5 linked regions of the Ovis aries genome follow. The protein of the gene in region 1 purifies or fractionates together with the protein of each later gene. This does not show direct contact. Links are inferred from orthologs where the notes say so. Each region holds a gene or a part of one and is shown in the gene's direction. Other genes may lie near its edges.

What was found.
Region 2: the proteins of RBPJ (region 1) and RITA1 purify together in Homo sapiens (affinity purification with mass spectrometry; 4 studies listed by BioGRID and IntAct, with this or other methods). This does not show direct contact. The link is inferred for Ovis aries from reciprocal best matches to the Homo sapiens genes RBPJ and RITA1.
Region 3: the proteins of RBPJ (region 1) and NOTCH2 purify together in Homo sapiens (affinity purification with mass spectrometry; 3 studies listed by BioGRID and IntAct, counting the BioPlex papers as one, with this or other methods). This does not show direct contact. The link is inferred for Ovis aries from reciprocal best matches to the Homo sapiens genes RBPJ and NOTCH2.
Region 4: the proteins of RBPJ (region 1) and MAML1 purify together in Homo sapiens (co-immunoprecipitation; 12 studies listed by BioGRID and IntAct, counting the BioPlex papers as one, with this or other methods). This does not show direct contact. The link is inferred for Ovis aries from reciprocal best matches to the Homo sapiens genes RBPJ and MAML1.
Region 5: the proteins of RBPJ (region 1) and FHL1 purify together in Homo sapiens (affinity purification with western blotting; 4 studies listed by BioGRID and IntAct, with this or other methods). This does not show direct contact. The link is inferred for Ovis aries from reciprocal best matches to the Homo sapiens genes RBPJ and FHL1.

Annotation. Positions count from the first base shown.
Region 1 is NC_056059.1:46,288,030-46,292,320, forward strand, and holds the start of RBPJ (recombining binding protein suppressor of hairless), read left to right. Parts: upstream 1-1,483; 5' UTR 1,484-1,591; intron 1,592-4,291. UniProt on the Homo sapiens protein: Transcriptional regulator that plays a central role in Notch signaling, a signaling pathway involved in cell-cell communication that regulates a broad spectrum of cell-fate determinations.
Region 2 is NC_056070.1:61,273,298-61,276,352, forward strand, and holds the end of RITA1 (RBPJ-interacting and tubulin-associated protein 1), read left to right. Parts: intron 1-1,469; coding exon 1,470-1,977; 3' UTR 1,978-1,998; coding exon of another isoform or gene 1,999-2,315; 3' UTR 2,316-2,540; downstream 2,541-3,055. UniProt on the Homo sapiens protein: Tubulin-binding protein that acts as a negative regulator of Notch signaling pathway.
Region 3 is NC_056054.1:97,348,144-97,351,659, reverse strand, and holds part of NOTCH2 (neurogenic locus notch homolog protein 2), read left to right. Parts: intron 1-46; coding exon 47-235; intron 236-1,398; coding exon 1,399-1,512; intron 1,513-2,320; coding exon 2,321-2,434; intron 2,435-3,516. UniProt on the Homo sapiens protein: Functions as a receptor for membrane-bound ligands Jagged-1 (JAG1), Jagged-2 (JAG2) and Delta-1 (DLL1) to regulate cell-fate determination.
Region 4 is NC_056058.1:1,319,102-1,322,617, reverse strand, and holds part of MAML1 (mastermind-like protein 1), read left to right. Parts: intron 1-1,133; coding exon 1,134-2,113; 3' UTR 2,114-3,516. UniProt on the Homo sapiens protein: Acts as a transcriptional coactivator for NOTCH proteins. Has been shown to amplify NOTCH-induced transcription of HES1. Enhances phosphorylation and proteolytic turnover of the NOTCH intracellular domain in the nucleus through interaction with CDK8.
Region 5 is NC_056080.1:99,026,203-99,030,279, reverse strand, and holds the start of FHL1 (four and a half LIM domains protein 1), read left to right. Parts: upstream 1-1,265; coding exon 1,266-1,287; exon of another isoform or gene 1,288-4,077.

The DNA of each region.
Region 1 (4,291 bases):
ACTATAATGTGGCTAATACAAACTTCATAGGGCTGTTGAGAAGATGAAATAATAAAGGTACCTCTCCTGATATCTGAGTCCCCCAGTAAGAGCTTGACCCTTTGAATTCCAAACCCAGCTCCACCAGGAGGGATTTATTTGACCTTGATCAAGTTTCTTTTACTTCTCAGTCCGCTTTCTGGTCTGTAAAACAAGGAGAATGAATGCATGCTAAGTCTCTTCAGTCAAGTCTGACTCTTTGCAACCCTATGGAAAGTAGCCTACCAGGCTCCTCTGTCCATGAGATTCTCCAGGCAAGAATACTGGAGTGGATTGCCATGCCCTGCTCCAGGGGATCTTCCCCACCCAGGGATCAAACCTGCATTTCTTACATCTCCTGCATTGGCATGCGGCTTCTTTATCACTAGCGCCACTGGTAACTTTCACATGGGGAGAAAATAAAAGGGAGCACGTGGCATGCTGAGCACTTGCTTGGCAAAACAGCTCACTAGCTGTCTAGGCATCATCATGACTATTGTCGCTGGAGGTCACAGAGCCGGCGAGAGACAAAATCCATTAATGAGCCCTAGTCTGCCTGCCTCCGAGTACATGTGCTTCAGCCTGTTGGGATATACACACAACAGACATGAGACAATCATTTTCAGAGTGGCTCTGGGAGAGGATTCTGTTGGCAGTTAAAGACAAGTGGGTGGCAACAATTCCAGAGAGCTTCCAGAAGCCATGGGGTTGCAGGAAGATATTTAAAGGAGGCAGGTGGCTGGGCAGATGGGGGTGGCAGGGTTTACACACTCAGGACAGCCGGGACAACGGCTCAGAGGAGTGAGTGGCAGCGGCTGCAAGATGCTGGCTTTGTTGGAACAAAGCAGCAGGTGAGGGCCACAGAGAGTCCACACTCCAGGCACTCAGGGAGGGCTGAGGCAGAATAAAACCCTTGGCAGGGAGACGGCAGCCCCATTTGCCTTTTTCAATCAATCAACCAACAATTGAGGGACCAGCCCTGAAACAAAGCCGGGTCTCCCTCCCTCCCTCCCATGCAGCCTCCTTTCAAACATCAGATCATAGTTGAACTTCTGAGAACTCCTCCTCCTTCCTGAAGCCACGAGCAGTTGTACAGAAATTCATTTTTATTATTGAGCTCGTATTTCTGCTTTTGCCATCACCGCAGATCAGTTTGGGTTTTGTCTCCCAGCCAAGGGTTTTTCATATTTTCCAGATCACTCCAAAGTCTGTATGTGCTGCCTGGAGCAGGTTTAAGGAACAATCTGAGATTTCTTTCTGAATAAGCAGTTATTTGTACTTTGTTTTGCTTTTCTTAGTTACTGAAGAGAAACAGTGACATAAAGAAAGCACTGGTAACACAGCGCTGAGCAGCACAAATGTCAGTGGTAGTGACTTTCAAACAAATAGTCACATTGTCAGGCGCACAAGGGTCTCATTGAGGAAATCTGTGCAGTGATTGCTAACGGGGTTTAACACTTTAGGCACAGTGTAATCAAGGAAAGAACTGTAAACTTTGCACAGAGTGACCTCGGAAGGGACTAAAAGGAAATGCCAACTCAAGATCCCAGCGTACATTTTCAGACCACTCACAGTATGTTGGGGGGGAGGGTGGGATGGGGGGAAAGAGCCTGACAGAGTGAAATGTTGTTTATGGGGAAATGGGGAACATTCCCTAATTATTGCAATGATTATGGTAAATCCAGTTACATTCTGTTTCATTCTCTATTTTAATAATTTTAATTATGGTTCTACACAAAGCCAAAGGTTTTTTTTTTTTTTTTAATGAGATGTACAATGCATTTTACCACTTTGCAATATTTTTCTTTTAAAGGTTATTATTGTAAAGAAAATAGAATTCCTTTAGCAGAAATTTAAGTAAATACCTAGAACTCCCACCAGCCCCTTCCCGGAGCCTTTGGCATATGACAATGTGGGCAAAAGTTGTCTGTCCTGCCTCCCTATTCAGGGTTACCAAATTTAGCACATAAAAACACAGGATGTCTAGTTAAATTTGAATTTCAGATAAACTATGAACAATTTTTTCAGTATAAGCATGTTCCAAACATTGTTCAAGATCTACTAGAAAATTATTTGTTCTTTAAATTTAACTGGGGATCCTGTATTTAATGTGACCAAATCATTCCAATTGACTATAGATGTCTAGGTTTACTTCTACTTCTGGACTCTGCTCCCTATCTGATCTCTGTCTCTATCTGTACACATATACTACATAGTCCTGGGATTACTGCAGCCTTGTAATGAGTTTTGAAATGGGTCTGAGTCTTCCAAATGTGTTGTTTTTTAAAAGATTATTTTGACTATTTTGGGCCCTTTCTATTTTAACATGAATTTTACGACCAGACGGACAATTCCTGCAGAAAAATCAGTTGTCATTTTCATAGAGATTGCATTGAATCTGTAGATTGGCTTGAGGAGTACTGCCATATACATATATATATATTTTTTTTAAATATGTTTATTTATTTGGCTCTGCTGGATCTTTAGTTGTGGCATGTGGGATCTAGTTCCCTGACCAGGAACCAAACTCAGGGCCCTTGCATTGGGAGTGTGCAACCTGAGCCACTGCACCGCCAGGGAAGTCCTTGCCATCTTAATCATCTTAAATTTCCAATCCATGAAAACAAGCTGTTTTTCTATTAATTTGGTTTTTCCTTTACTTATTTCATGCTCTGCAGTTTCCAGTGCACAAGTCTTATACTTCTTTTGTTCAACTTATTCCTAAGTCCTTTCTTCTTTTCAAAAAAAAAAAATAGGTGCTGTCAATAGAATTCTCTTAATTTCATTTTCAGATTGTTGATTTCTAGCATATAAAAATAAAATTTATTTTGGTATACTACAATATTTAAGAGTGTCAGTTTGAAAACCTATTGTTCTAGTGAAATATAATTCACATTCTGATTGTCTGCTAGCAGGACATTAACTTCTCTGTGACTTTCACTGGCTTGGCTCTTTGGGAAAATGCTGCTGGCACTGGCCAAGGGACCATAAACATATAACCTGCTAGACTTGGGCTCAGGTACACATACAGAAGTGGAGGAGGCAAGCACCCTACAGGCAGATGTGCTGCGCTTCAGTACTTTACCTGCCAGGCTCCCTCACCAGACTTCAAACTCTCTGAGAGCTGTAACAAGATCTCCTGTACAATTCTCTCAAAAGCAGGTACCAGTTTGGTGTTTGCTTTAAGTATTTTGTCAGACTCATTGACTAGGTGGAGAGGGGAAAAATGGAACTGCTCAGGGGACAGAGCTCAATGGGATCTTATTTTGCTGAGGGACCTCACAGCCTACTGTCAGATTTGACTCATCCATACTCACCTTGTTCATAAAAAGAAAGGTCTGTAAGGCTGTAAAGAACTATTTATTATCTATAAACATACTGTAATATTTTTATTGCAGTCGCTTCACAGTATCTTTTTAAAATATGTGGTACAGCAAAATGTCCCTTATTGTTCTTGTTCAAGATTCTCTTGACAATTTTTAAATTTTTATTTTTTCTTATCCTTTCCATTACTGCGTCCTTAGTGGGATTTTGACTGGATTCAATAACATTTTTATATTAACTTGGGAAGGATTTGTATTTTCATAATTTTTTTCTAATCCAAGATTTTGGTATGTCTCGCCATTTATTCGACATGTTTTATTTCCTTCAATTAAATTTTATAACTTTGTTCATATACATTCTAGACTTCCCTTGTTAAATTTATTCATGACAGTATTTTTTAAGAATTTATTTTGTAATTTCTATGTATAACTCTATTTCTAATATGCAGAGAAGTTACTGTTTTTAAAAAATATTTATCTTAGCAGCCACTAAGGAAAACAAAACTAAAATTATAACTACTATGCTGCTGTTGCTGCTAAGTCGCATCAGTCATTTCCGACTCTGTGCGACCCCAGAGACGGCAGCCCACCCGGCTCCCCCGTCCCTGGGATTCTCCAGGCAAGAACACTGGAGTGGGTTGCCATTTCCTTCTCCAATGCATGAAAGTGAAAAGTGAAAGAGAAGTCACTCAGTTGTGTCTGACTTTTAGCAACCCCATGGACTGCAGCCTACCAGGCTCCTCCATCCATGGGATTTCTCCAGGCAAGAACACTGGAGTGGGGTGCCATTGCCTTCTCCGATATATGATCCAGTAATTCCACTCCTCGGTATGTATCAGGAGCAAACAAAAACTCTAATTTGAAAAGACACATGTACCCCAATGTTCATAGCAACGCTATTTATAATAGCCAAGACAGGGAAATAGCCCAAGTGCCCATCAACAGATGAC
Region 2 (3,055 bases), on another chromosome or scaffold:
TCATGTCTACTTGACAGTTCCCATGGAGCACAGGGCAGGCTCAGGTTGACATAGCAGCACTGACATCTACAACGTGGCTGAAAGTGCTGAGTTCACTGTAGGCTGCATTAACAGAAGTCCATGACAGGAAGGCAACAGTCAACCTCATGCTCTCCTGGAGGTTGGAACTTTGTGCTGGATGCTGACAGGTAGAGGCTGTCAAGTTAGAAGGTACATAAGAGGTAGAGATGCTATTAAGCAGAAACTTTGGAACCAGACAGACGTAGGTATCAACCAGATCTGGGTTTGAACAGCCAAATCAAGTGGCCAAAATGTTGACTTTTCAAAGACTTGAAGTTTGGGAATGGGGAGCACTTTTAGTTCTGGCTGAAAGTCATGGACCTCACACCTCATAGATATGCCATGAACATTTGTGAGATTAATTTAAAAAAAAATGCTGAATGAATCTAGTTAAAAGTGAGAGGCCTTGAAGGCATTTAAGTCTGGCTTAGTGATCAGGAACTTGAGCCCTTGAGTGGGGGCCTGGATTTGAATCTTATCTATACCTTCCTTGTTATCCTCCCTGTGCCTCTGTTTTCTTGTCTATAAAATGGGATTATCATATTGCCGTCCTGTGGGTTTTGTGAGAAATAATGAGATAACACAGGTGACAAGCTGAGTCCTGGGCCTATACATGAAAAACCCTGAGTAAATATTCAAAAATTTTAAAAGCTACTCTGGTGGTATGGCCAGGTCACAGCACCCTCTACATGCCGGGTTCTTGGCTGTGCAGTTTCAGAAACAGTTAGAAGGGCCACATGACTGCAGACGGTTCGGCTGACAGGGCCACTAGGAAAAGGGTGAAGTGGTGAGTTAAAAGAAAAAGTGAACGCTCTGAAGACTAAGGTTATATTAATGTTGGTTGCAAATAACATAAGGATTGGGCTTGCAAACAAGCTAAACGCGCCTCAGCAGACAAAGGACATTTGGGGCTCATATAACAGGGGCTCAAAATGTTGTTGGGATTCTTTCTCACACACATTCCAGGTGAGATGGCCACCAGCTCTTTTGCCCTTATATCCTTCCTGCCTGTTCTTCAGCACTCAGTGGAAGAAAGACATCTCTCTCCTAGTAGTTAACGCAAAGATTCTAAGGGAGACTCCCATTGGGCAGAATGGGTCATGTGGTTAGTCCTGAGCCAATCAGTGTGGTCAGGAGGATGGGGTATGCAAATTGAGCTGGACTAGGCCAATTGGGCACATGCCCAGGATGGGGTGGGGAGGATGCAGGAGGACTGGATGCTCTGCCAGGGAAAAATAGTAAGAGCTGGGAATAGTGGTACTTGAGGGCTGTGGCTTCCCTGTGGGTACTTCTGGGATCTACAGGCAATCATCTGCTGCTGTAGGGGCTTAGCTGGGGGTGGGGGGCGGAGGGGTAAGAAAGTTTACAAGGCTTATTTCCCCAGCTCATTGTTTCTCTTCCCTTCCCAGACTGATCAGCCACACTCCTTCTTACTGCGAGGAGTCTCTCTTTGGCTCCCGACCGGAGGGCGCTGGCTGGGAGGCCAAGTGGATGGCGAGAGGTGATGCTGCAAAGCTCCACGCCCTCTTCTGGACACCCCCAGCTACCCCTAGGGGCAGCCATTCTCCCCGCCCCAGGGAGACTCCAGTGCGGGCCATTCACCCAGCTGATCTCTCAAAGACAGAGCACAGGGTAGTGGCCGGCTCCCGGAGGCTGTCCGTGGCTGGGTTAGACACTCCACGCCCTCTGAGGCGGGAGTGTTCCCACTCCCTCACCCACCTTGATGTCCCTAGCACAGGTCACCCACCCGCCAGTAGTCCCTGCACAAATGGGCCCCGAGATCCCAGGCCTGCCCCATCAGGGGTGACCTTCCGGAGCCCCCTGGTGACTCCCAGGGCTCGTTCAGTCAGTGTTTCAGTGCCAACTACCCCCCGACAAGGTAGGGCTACCCAGAAAACAAAGCCCCCTTGGAAATGAGTTTCTTGGTCCTTTCTGCAGGTGTGCCCATGGGGTCACAGCGAGGGGCAGAGTTTCAGAGAATGGCGCTGCTGGGCAGGCCCCTGGGGAGACCACAAGGCATTGGTGGAGCCCTCCTGGGGACAGACAGAGCAATGGTGGGCAGTGCCCCCCCTCTGACCACCTCTGGTTGCTCCCTGCTTTCCCCACTGATACGGACTGGAGGGTCAACCCTGACATACCTGTGTCCAGTCCTGTCACGGCCACATGGCGTATCAGTGCCAACCCAGGGGGTGTCCCCCAGGAGGGCCCCCACCTCCTCCATCACACCCACAACATTGTCTCACCGCCAAGTGTGAATAAATAGTGTGATTGCCAACCTGGAGGGCTCTTCCTCCCTTCAAGCCAAGCTCTTGCTCAGGATAAGTTTCCAGCTGAGTCTGGAGGCCTCAGGAATTTTCCCAGGCACCATGTGTGGACCAGCGGGGAACACGAGGATCTGGGTGGTATGTGAGTGGACATTTAAAAATTTTAGTAGTCATATATTTATTTTCATGTATTAAATATACCAGTAGCTCATCGAAGCCATGAGTTTTGTTAATTTCTTTTTTCCCCATAAGGTAAAGACCAGTGTTAGGCCTGAATTGATTTAAGTAACAAAATTAATAATGTCGCAGTCACGACCGTGGCAGTGGGGCAACTGATCCTCCTCCCATCATAGGCTTCTAGCTAATGCCACTAATTGGTGGGTTGGCTGGTTCTTCCTGAATTCAGAATATGGGCTACAGTTGTTTTGAAATCAGATATAAACATATATCTGATGTACATTTCCTACCTTTAAAAATGCAGGTCAAGAAGCAATAGCTAAGACTGGATGTGGAACAATTGACTGGTTCAAAATTGGGAAAAGAATATGACAAGGCTGTATATTGTCACCCTGCTAATTTAACTTATATGCAGAGTACATCATGCGAAATGCCAGGCTGGATAAATCACAAGTTGGAATCAAGATTGCCAAGGGTAATATCAATAACCTCAGATATGCAGATGATACCACTGGCAGAAAGGGAAGAGGAACTAAAGAGCTTCTTGAGGAGGG
Region 3 (3,516 bases), on another chromosome or scaffold:
TCCATCGAGTGCTTTGATCCTGGTTATGGGTGCTTGTGTCTTCCAGCCAACAGCAATCCTTGTGAGCATGCAGGAAAATGTGTGAACACAGATGGTGCCTTCCACTGTGAGTGTCTGAAGGGCTATGCAGGACCTCGTTGTGAGATGGACATCAATGAGTGCCACTCAGACCCCTGCAAGAATGATGCCACCTGTCTGGATAAGATTGGAGGCTTCACGTGTCTGTGCATGCCAGGTACATGGGCCGTCGGTGTGTGGGGTCTAGACCAGAGACCTTGCACTGTGCTTGTCTTAGGCAGAGCACTCAGTACAGTGTGGCATTTCCGTAAGCTCTGTTGGCATTTAATCCCTAGCCACAGGACCCTTAGGGTTTCCCTGGTGGCTCAGTGGTAAAGAATCTGCCTGCAGTACAGGAGCCGCTGGAGACATTGGTTTGATCCCTGGGTTGGAGGCGGGCATGGCAACCCACGCCAGTATTCTTGCCTGGAGAATCCCATGGACAGAAGAGCCTGTTGGGTTATAATCCATTGGGTCGCAAAGAGTCGAACACGACTGAAGTGACTTAGCATGCACATATGCAAGGGGACCCTTAAGGACTAAGGCCCATGTTAAAATTCTTAGATCTATGGAAAACAGTCCCATCATGTCAAAACCCAGATACTTGTGAGAGAAAAATTCAGAAGATTTTTAAAATGCAAGTATACTTTGATTTAATAAAGTATTTATCATAAAAATTCTTTAAATAGCAAGCTTTCCTTATCCCCTGATATATTACAAATAGCATACCATTCCATTTATAGAAAATAATATTACCCATAATTGTATAGGAACTTGCTGTTTATCTCATGGTGAGATACACATGCTGTGTTATATCTTGGAACTCTTCTGCAGAGACTTCTGCTTAAATCCTTAGAGAGCACAGCTGAACTTTAGCTTAAAATGACAGCTGTCAGGGGCTGCTTGGCCTGATAACGGGTGCTAACCACTCTAGCCTTGGCAGGCCCTCCTGACTTTGACTTACACCCTGAGTACAACAGCATCTCTGATTCATTCAGCTGGTCCTTAGGACTGGGGACCCTGTGGGCCTGGCACTGTCCTGAAAGCAATGCCTGGACTGATCCGAGAATGTAGTTCAGTCTTTGTTGGCATGCTAGGTCTTACTAAGGTCTTTGGAGGTAACCTCTTCTCCGTCTCCACAGTGACATGGATATCCCAGAATATGCCCGTGTCTGACTGATGCTCACAGTGACTGTTTTCAATCATGGCATAGTCCTCTTTTCCCTCTGCAGAAATGTTCATACGCATAGAGGATGTAGTCAGCTTTATGAATTTGTGCTTTCTTGGCTAGAATTTGCCTTTGTCTTTTTCTAAGCCGCTTGTGTGGTCCATTTTGTTCAGGTTTCAAAGGTGTGCATTGTGAGTTGGAGATCAATGAATGTCAGAGCAACCCTTGTGTGAACAATGGACAGTGTGTGGATAAAGTCAATCGCTTCCAGTGTCTGTGTCCGCCTGGTAAGTGCCCACCACCTGCCCCTGTTTTCTTTGAAAGCACAAAGCCGACTGACCGCAGGGAAGAGAGGAGGGAGAGAATGTGTGTGGGCTCTACATGAGGAAGTCATTAAAGTGAGCGCTTTGGGATAGGAGTGTGTGTGTATAGAAGTGGGGGATTTGCTTCAGCTAGAATATCTTCCAAATCCTTTGTGGCCAGAGGTCCAAGTCTATTCTGAATGGCCCATGACCTCGCCGTCTGTGTGTACATTTCAGAAAGTTCATACCTCACGGAAGCCCTTAGTTCTAGGTTACTCAGGATTTTATTTTTTCCTGTGAGTTATATTCTTGAAACCTTTCTCTGAGATGATTATTTTTAGACATTTCACCCATGGGTACATTAATAGCACAAGTCAGTTCTTTCCAAAGAATGCTGTGTCTCTCCTTTTGCCCCCCCTCAGCCATTGTGGAAGCCATGCTGAATTTTCTGCCTTAGGCTATAGCCTCTCTTGTTTCTTCAGAGAGAAGGTCCCAGTTCCTGTGCAGCTACATTCACTTCTTAGGGGGTTCTGTCTGTATGCATTCAGTTCCTACTTTAAGTTGAAGTGAAATCTATACTGGGAAGAAAAAGAGGTGAGAGAGACACCCCGGTGCCTCTGATGCCCTGAGCCTCACCCGTTATCCCAGGTACCTGTTCAGGAGAAAAATTCTCCACGTGCTGATCCAGGGGTATAAGCCTGCCAATAATGGCCCAGCTCTTCTGGGCATCACTCTGATAGTGAGGAAAACATAGGATAATCCTTTGATGTGTGTCATCATGTGCCCTTTTAAGGATTCACGGGGCCAGTTTGCCAGATCGATATTGACGACTGTTCTAGTACTCCGTGTCTGAATGGGGCAAAGTGTATAGATCACCCGAATGGTTATGAGTGCCAGTGTGCCACAGGTAAGACTTTTTCACTTCTTATTCTCCTGCTAGGTCCATCTGCACTAAATAGGAGACTGTCCTCTTCTCGCTGCCCTGCCAGGCCAGTCTACTAATGGGCTGCTCTGTGTTTAGAAGGGGCTTCTTCCAGCCTCTTTCTTACTGCTCCCCCTGTTTCCTTCTACAACAGCTGCTTCCTTCACCACAGTGATGGCCTGGCCTGGACACTTCCATTTGATGTCCCCGTCTTTCGAGGGCAGATTTTGGCAATGGCGAGTTTCCAGCTGGCTTTGCCTTATTCCTCTACAAAAGGGAAGGATTCCAGCTGAAAACTATTTGTCATTGGGGCTTCTCAGCAGGAGGCCTGTCTCTGTGTTTCTTGAGGCAAGGGATCGAACAAAGGCTCAGAAATGCAGTGGTGGGCAAGTGCAGAGATTTTCTGCATAAATACGATTGATGCTTTGAGAGTCAAATGTGTATCTGGACAGGGGAGAGAGCTCTATCTGGGAAAGTTTAGGTCCTCTTTCCTGACTCCTGCTACTAGAATCAAAAAGAATGTTTACAAATATTATACATTTCTGATCTGTGCCGACATTTCTAATTTGGGAGTGGATTTGAATAAGCCAGACATTTCTTATTACACATTTGCTTCTGCACAGACCATTATTGTGTAGAGAAGATTAGAAATTATTAGAAAAGATAATTTCCCAGTTTCTTTTTTATCTGACTGTTTAAGAAAGAAGTTATGAATATAATTCAGGACATTTTTTTCTTATTTTAAAAAATGGATTCTTAAAAGATTTTAAGCATCATGTGCATGATTTTTTTTTGTGATCACAGAAAAGCAAACTAAGTCATAAAAATAAACAGAGAACTACTATTTCAGTAGTATTAGAATATTACCACTTATTAGGCCTTCTCAGAGTAGGCCCTGTCAGATGATCCACTCAGCTTCCTTTTCTTTTCACAAACTCTGGTCTCTGTTGGAAAAGTTTCAGGTTAGGTCCTCTTCTGGCTAAGATTATGCTTATGGAGTATAACCTTCACTGGAGAGAATTTAAACTTTGAACTCATGTTTAAAAGGGAGGAGAGTCCTTCCAAAG
Region 4 (3,516 bases), on another chromosome or scaffold:
GTGGGGGCAGGAAGCGTTCTGAGGTCTCAGCTGTCATGTCTCAGATGCGTGAGAGAGCCTGACCAGCATTGTGCAGGCTGTTGCTCTAGAAATACTGAGAGAGTTCAGCTGATAGATGCAGAAAAGTCCAGGCCATACTTGCTTTCCTAGCTCTTGGACTATCTTCAAAACCTGTGCTTTCCTCGGTTAGTGACTCTTGCTATAACATGTCCTGGTGGTGGTGCCCACAGCCGTGCTTCCAGAGGAGGCTGCGTGGGTTTTACGTTATGCTGACAGGGGACTGAAGTCTGTGGGCAGCTCAGAAGCTGAGCCTTGGCCAGCTTTCCTGCCTTTATCCCATTTACTGTTGCTGTGTGTTGTCAGTGGGAAAGAAGTGGGTTATTTCAGCATTTCTCTCTTTTTCAACTCAGTCTTTAGTTAGGTGTTAATGGAAAGCAGAAGAGGAGAAACAAGGCGTACTCAGCTATGGCCAACTCCTGAACAGCCCCTCGCCTGCGTGCACAAAACAGTGTCTTTGTTAGTGCTGTCACCACGCATCCAGTGCTTGAGACAGTCCCACACGGCAGGGTCCCCGAGGACAGGCCCCTGCCTCCCCAGCGCAGCCTGCGCCGCAGAGCAGGCGCTCGGTGCACGCCTTCTGATCGCCTCCCTTCCGCACCCTGCGGTACCACACCGTGTGGGCCCTCATCCGAGTGATCCTGTCAGTCCCCGGCCAGCGAGGCCTGAGCCAGCCACAGTCCAGTTACCCTGCGGCTCTACAGCCCTGTCCCCGTGTGGGGGCTGCAGCCCCTCTGGATCTGGCCAGGACCATCTCTCCGTTTACCCCAGACGCTCTCCCCACATCCTGGCCACAGAGTTTGCCCCTTCCTCTGTGCCTTTTCTTCCTTTAATGTACCTGTCTTAATCTCCTTATCGCTCCAGACCGGCCTCCATTCCATGCTGTGGGGAGCCTTTGGCCCCCAGGGCTCTCTTCTCTAAGGTTCCAGTGATCGTGCGTGTCTGGTGGGGTGTCAGAACACTGCCCTTGCCTTGCGCGCCCGCGGGGTGGCCGTTGCTGCGTGGGTCTTAGCTGTGTCTCCTAGTGGAGGTGAAGCAGCGCTGGCCTGGCTGACAGCACTCTCTCTCTCTTCTAGGGCCCTCTTCTGCCATGCCTGGCGTGAACAGCTTGGGTCCATCTAGCTCCAGCTGTCCCCGAGTGTTCCCTCAGGCTGGGAATCTGATGCCAATGGGCCCTGGACACACTTCGGTTTCTTCTCTCCCCTCAAACTCAGGCCAGCAGGACCGGGGTGTGGCTCAGTTCACTGGCTCCCAAAGCATGCCCCAGAGCAGCCTCTACGGCATGACTTCCGGCATAACCCAGATGGTTGCCCAGCCTCCACCACAGGCCACCAACGGACATGCCCACATTCCGCGGCAGACCAGCGTGGGCCAGAACACCTCGGTTTCAGCTGCCTATGGACAGAACTCGCTGGGGAACTCTGGTCTCTCCCAGCAGCACAGTAAGGGGACCCTGAACTCGGGTTTAACTAAGCCACAGGTCCCAAGGGTATCAGCAGCCATGGGAGGCCAGAATTCCACCTGGCAACATCAGGGAATGCCAAACCTGAGCGGCCAGCCCCCAGGAAACAGCACCGTAAGCCCGTTCACTGCAGCCTCCAGTTTCCACCTGCAGCAGGCCCACCTGAAAATGTCCAGCCCGCAGTTCTCTCAGGCGATGCCCAGCAGACCCATGGCCCCCATGAGCTCAGCAGCTGTGGCAGGGTCCATGCTGCCCACTGTGAACGCACAGCAGAGGACCAGTGCCCCTGCCCCAGCACCTCCCCAGGGAGCCCCACAGCAGGGCTTGTCGGGCCTGAGCCCGGCAGGGCCAGAGCTGGGGGCCTTCAGCCAGAGCCCTGCCCCAGCCATGGGCGGCCGGCCAGGCCTGCACTGTGCCCAGGCCTACCCCGTGCGGACCGCAGGCCAGGAGCTGCCCTTCGCCTACAGCGGGCAGCCGGGCAGTGGCGGGTTGGCCAGCATGGCTGGGGACGCCGACCTGATCGACTCCCTGCTGAAGAACAGGACTTCGGAGGAGTGGATGAGTGATCTGGACGACCTCCTTGGGCCTCAGTAGCAGGAGGATTTGTGGTGTTTTCAGTGTTCACACAGCCTGTATTTTTGTTCTCAGATTCAAGAAAGAGTAACTACTTTGGACCAAAAGCCCACAGCCCAGGGAGCCGGGCAGGCGGAGCTGAGGCCTGGTCCTCCCGGGGCCGGGGGCCCACGGCTCCCAGCCAGCAGTTGGTATGTCGGGCTGGCCCGCCCCCATCTGCTGGTGTCACTGTATGGGGTTGGCACAGCACGACAGGGTTCTACAGGTGGTTTTTTAATCCAGAAGACCAAAAAGCCAACAGTAAAACCCCACGACGCCAGGTTTATAAAAATCTGTGCTATCATTTTGATCTAATCCAAGATTTCTCCACTTGGCCCAATGTTGGGACAGATTTTTGTTGAAACTTTATAGTGGAACTATTTGCAATTTGTAGCATAGAAAAGATTTTTTAAAGGTTTTAAGGTTTTAAAACAGATTAGGGTAGGTGGTTAAAATCTATAAGTGGCATTGGAAACTTAGGGTTTCCTTTTGATTAAGAGCCTTTTTTATTCCTGCTGTTTGTCAGCTTTCAGGACAAAGAGAGGCTCACTGGAAAATTGCATGTGCCAAAAAGGAACAGGATGCCGTGAGAAGCAGAGCTAGTGGCAGAGATGCGGTCGTTACTGCAGCCCCGCGTTCTCCCAGAATGCTGTTCTTCCACGTTGGCATTTAGGAGGACCTGGGCTGAGGAGTCCCTTCCTCCCGTGTTTTCAGAGCAGGACCCCAGGCTAAAGGCTGTAATACAAACTGGGGCTCCTGTGTCTCTCTTGTTGTGACTCCCCACCATTTGCAGTTTCTCTGGAGACTCGTATTTACTGTATCAGGAAGGTGATCATTGTTGAGTTCTGCACAGGTGTCTTTTCTTTCACCCTGTCTTCATTTCCCATAACCGTTCTTTCTGCCTTCCGTTCTTTATTTCTCCAGCCCAAGTGGAAAACCTCCTTATGGCACTAATTTACTAGATTGGAGAGGAAAAGAGTCGTTAGAACTCCCCAGGAAACCCTAGCATTGTAAGGAGGCGGGTATCCCCTCCCCAGAAAGCAGAGGTTCAGGGGAAGGAGGAAAGAGGACCCAGGCCAGAGGAGGGGCCCCACTCCGTTCTGCTACTGCTGCCACTGCCTCTTCAGACGACTTGCACTTTTTAGAGAGAATTGCTTTGTAACACTAACACATCCTTTCTAAAAATTCAAGTGGATTTCTCTTTTAAGGTCTATGACTGTTTAGGTCTTGACTAAGCTAAGAGTCCACGTAGTAGTATTACCTGTGGGCCGTTGTGGAAAGTGAAGACGGAGAGAGCACTTCAGTATAGCAGAAGCAGTAAGCACAGGGGGAAACTCTTTCAGATGGAGTACTGGAGGGAAAGCAGTACACTGAAGAGAGTGGCT
Region 5 (4,077 bases), on another chromosome or scaffold:
GATGAGACATGGCATGACCCAGAGTGAAGGTTGTCTCCTTTCTTAAACTTCAATGGCCAAGGCCACTTTTTAGGAATCCAAGTGGGCCTATGTCTCCGTTTCATATGTGTCTTGATTAATGCTTCTCGTCTTTAAATTCAGTTTTTTAACACACAGCTTTCATGGGGAGCAGATTGGGGAAGAGAGTAGGGAGAGTGGGGTGGGGAGCATGGTTGCTCTTTTAAACAGGGTGGCCAAAGAAGATGACACTGCAAAAGTGCCTTGGAGCAAAGCCTTGAAGGGAGCAGAGGAGCAGCCATGAGAGGCTCTGTGCTGAGGGGGCGGCTGTGGGGACCTGAGGTGGGGTGTGTCTGGAGGGCGTGAGGCTGAGGGGGGGCAGGCATGAAGCCAGAGAAGGGTCAGGACAGAGGTGGGGGACCGACTCACAGACCATCCTCAGGACCTCAGCTCCTCCTGGAGCTCCATCCCAGTGACCAGCCTCCAGCCAGCGGATGCCCCGTGAAGCCATTAGAGCATGTTAGGATGCCATGTTTTTGTCCCTATTTCTACTTTGACTCTCCCTGGCAGTGAAAAGCAAGAGATGTTGTTTATAGGACAGTGTCCCTTCCTTGGCGTACATAGTAGGTGTATGTGCGTGTATGCCGCTGCCTCCTGCCCCACGCTGACTCTAAGGAGATACGTGGCTAGAATTGCCCTCTTCAGTATTCTGCTGATCTCTGGTGCAGACCAAGGAGGACAGAGATAATGCCCTTGATCTGTGTATTCTTCATGTCTAATCCCTTTTAATTACACTGGTAACATAAGTTTATCTCTTATAGTAACTTTTATCATTAACAGCACAAAAACTCTCCAGAAGACCAAGTGCAAGCTCTTTAGGCATATAAAGTGGATTAATGAGGGTGGCTCAGCGTTAAGGTATGCCAGGGCTGAGTCTAAATTTTATTCCGGTACAGGGATCACTTTCTATGTGGCCTCTCTGGCTCTGGAGCTAATTTGGATGCTGAGTAGCCCCACAGGTATTTATATGTAGTGTTTGGTATTTTTACTGGGTCCTATTCTTCTCCCTTGGATCACCTAAAATGGTTAAGAATTTTCTAGTGGGATTAAGGTTGTGATCTCTGGGGAGGGGTGGGCCATCTGCTCTTGGTTATTTTTGTGTTAGCCACTTCCCCTTAAATGTATGTTCACAACTGAGCCGCAGCCTTATCAGCTGGGCTCGAGGGAAGACTGGCGTAGGTGCTGCTCCTGAACTCGGTGTCTGAGCCATGGCTTCCCATAGACACTCAGGTAAAAGCTTCATATTCTTTATCTTCTAGCAAGCACAGTTTTATTAGGCACTGAATCCATCATTGGTCTAAAAGATACTTTTCGATGAAATTATTTTAGTCTTGTCTAAATAGTAAATAAGTCTAACTCATCTCTTTTCTGTCCTTCTTCAACTGCTGTTTTCAAGACAAAAGATTATTCTTACTCAAGTAAAATCATCAGTTTGAGTAGTTTATTTTTTAATATCTAAATATACTACTATATCGTACAGTTTCCAGGACATCTTATGAAGCTGGAGGACACTGTGAGGAAAGAGATTTTCTTTGTTATTAGGATTTTTTTGTTGTTATTTATAAGATACAAATCTTCATCTTGACAGTGCTATAAATCGAATTTAAAGTATTTGGAAAAGATCAATCAGATACAGAGCTGGAAGGAGGAAGAGTTATAACTAAGAAAGTCCATACTGATTTAACCATACCTTCTCCTTTTCTGAGCTGTGTTTTGAGTCTTCCCGAAGAAACAGCTATGATACTTTTGATATGACATGTAGATTATTAACTGTTCTCATCAGAAAAGGGGTCAAAGCTTCAGAACCTCTGGAGCATCATTATCATTACAGTGAGAGTTTTCCTGAGTTTGAGAAAGCCCTTTGGCCATGGACAAGACTCCCGAGATAGAGCCAAAGGCCTGAAGGATGGCCAGTTTCCCCAGAAAGCCCAGTTTTCTGGAGTTAGCCTGCTGCCTCTCTCTCCTGCAAAGCCAGGAACGTCACTGTGGTTCTGTTGCCTTCTGCCTAAGTAACAGTTCCCTTTCTTAGCAACCAGGCACTTTGTGCCATCTCCCAGCTTTCAGATTAAGGAGCAAAGTAATTATCAGTGGCAGTCTTTTGGAAAAAACATTTTTTAAAACTTGTAATTGACTGTCAATATTTAAACAATGGAAATACTTTTAAACTTCTCTTTTGGTATTTTAAAACAAATACACTATAATGGAATGCTTCCCTGGTGGCTTAGACAGTAAAGCATCTGCCTGCAATGTGGGAGACCCGGGTTCGATTCCTGGCTCGGGAAGATCCCCTGGAGAAGGAAATGGCAACCCACTCCAGCACTCTTGCCTGGAAAATCCCTTGGATGGAGTAGCCTGATAGGCTACAGTCCATGGCGTCGCAAAGAGTCGGATATGACTTCACTTTCACTTTCACTTTGATATTTTAAAACAAATACCCTATAACGGAATGCACTGCTTTAGGGAATCAGTATGCAATGTCTTCCTTGTTCCCAAGTGTTCAAGAGCAGTCTGTTTTTCTCCCCACCCCCAGGAGCCACTTTGCAAACATGGCACCACACGCCTGAGATTGTGGTAATCGGCCAGCATACACTGTCTTTGGGTGTAGACAAACTAGTCAGCTGTAGCAATTGTTCCAGTGGACCTTGAACGTGTGTTAACTAGTAGAGTAACTCCCTGTTTTATTTACTAATTAAATGACAGAATAGGGAAATATATTTCAAAGGTGACACGTTTATAACACACCCAACCTTGGGTTTTTAAATGGCACCAAATCCTGACATAACTTTTATGTAAATCTGAAGGCTCTAACTCTGACTAGACAAACTACTGGCACCGTCTAGATGATTTTTTAAATCAGGAACTATTTTAATAGTTTATTTTAATCAGAACTCATCTTCTGTTGCATTAGGTTCATAGGTCCATGAAAGCAGTTGAGAAAGAAGTGCTCACAGAAAGAAGCCCCATAGTGCCCTGAAAAGGACTTTGTGTGGACAGAGTAGAGGCTCTGATGACTGGATGGATCATAATCCATTTTTAGGGACCATCCACATACTGAGAGGACCTTTCAAGGACAAGAACTGATGCTTTTGTATTGAATATTTACCGTTTGCAAAGTTCTGCAGATTTCATTCCTTACCCTTTGGCCTTTAAAGTTGCGGATGGGGCAGATGGGAGGGCAGTGAAATCATGTAGCTCCCTTTCCAGGCCGGAATATAAAGGGAACAGTGGGCAAGGTGGGGAAGACCCAGTGAACTGGCTTCCGGAAATCACAGGAAAGTGGTAGTCAGAAACCTCGTTCAAGGGTGAAACTGAACGTTTTGTAGTTTGAATGACTACCAAACAACCGCCTGCTACTTTGCCACAACTAGAGAAACGGAAAACACACGTTCTGTTGGCTGCCAGGTCAGCGGGCCTTTCTCTCCGGTGTGAAAGGCAGAATGTGCTGCATGTATTGCGTGCTACGTTCAGAAAAGCTGTGTCAGAACAGAGCAGTTCTGGGAGAGGATCTGTCCAGGGAAAGTTCAGGGGCACGGAATGTTTCATTGGACCATCTCTACACAGCCCCCTCCTGATCCCAAGTGTCATCTAAACTGGGTTACCTGTGACCAATGAGCCAAAAGAGGAATTCCAGGCATTTTGGAAGCCTCCTGAACGTGGTCTGTTTGTAGGGCAAAAATGACTTTCTAATTTTCTGTGAAATTCTCTGAAAGCCCACTTTTCAGTGGTGACTCAGGAGCCCGCCCTGCGTGGGGTGGGACCTCCAGGTGTGCAGCTGTGGCTCCTGCATAAGCCTCCCTTTCATCAGCTGAGGCTTCGCTCTGTTGAATGTTCTCAGGAAAGCAGTATACCCTTTCTTTAGAAGCCAGCATTTATACATGGAGTGACTAATGTCCTGTCCTGGAAATAGCAATTAACAGACCAGAAATAACCTATGTTTTTTTCCCATTTGAGTTGCTGTTCATTGTTTATACTGTATATTATGCCACTCGTGGAAAGTACATAGTTAGAAAAATGCTACCT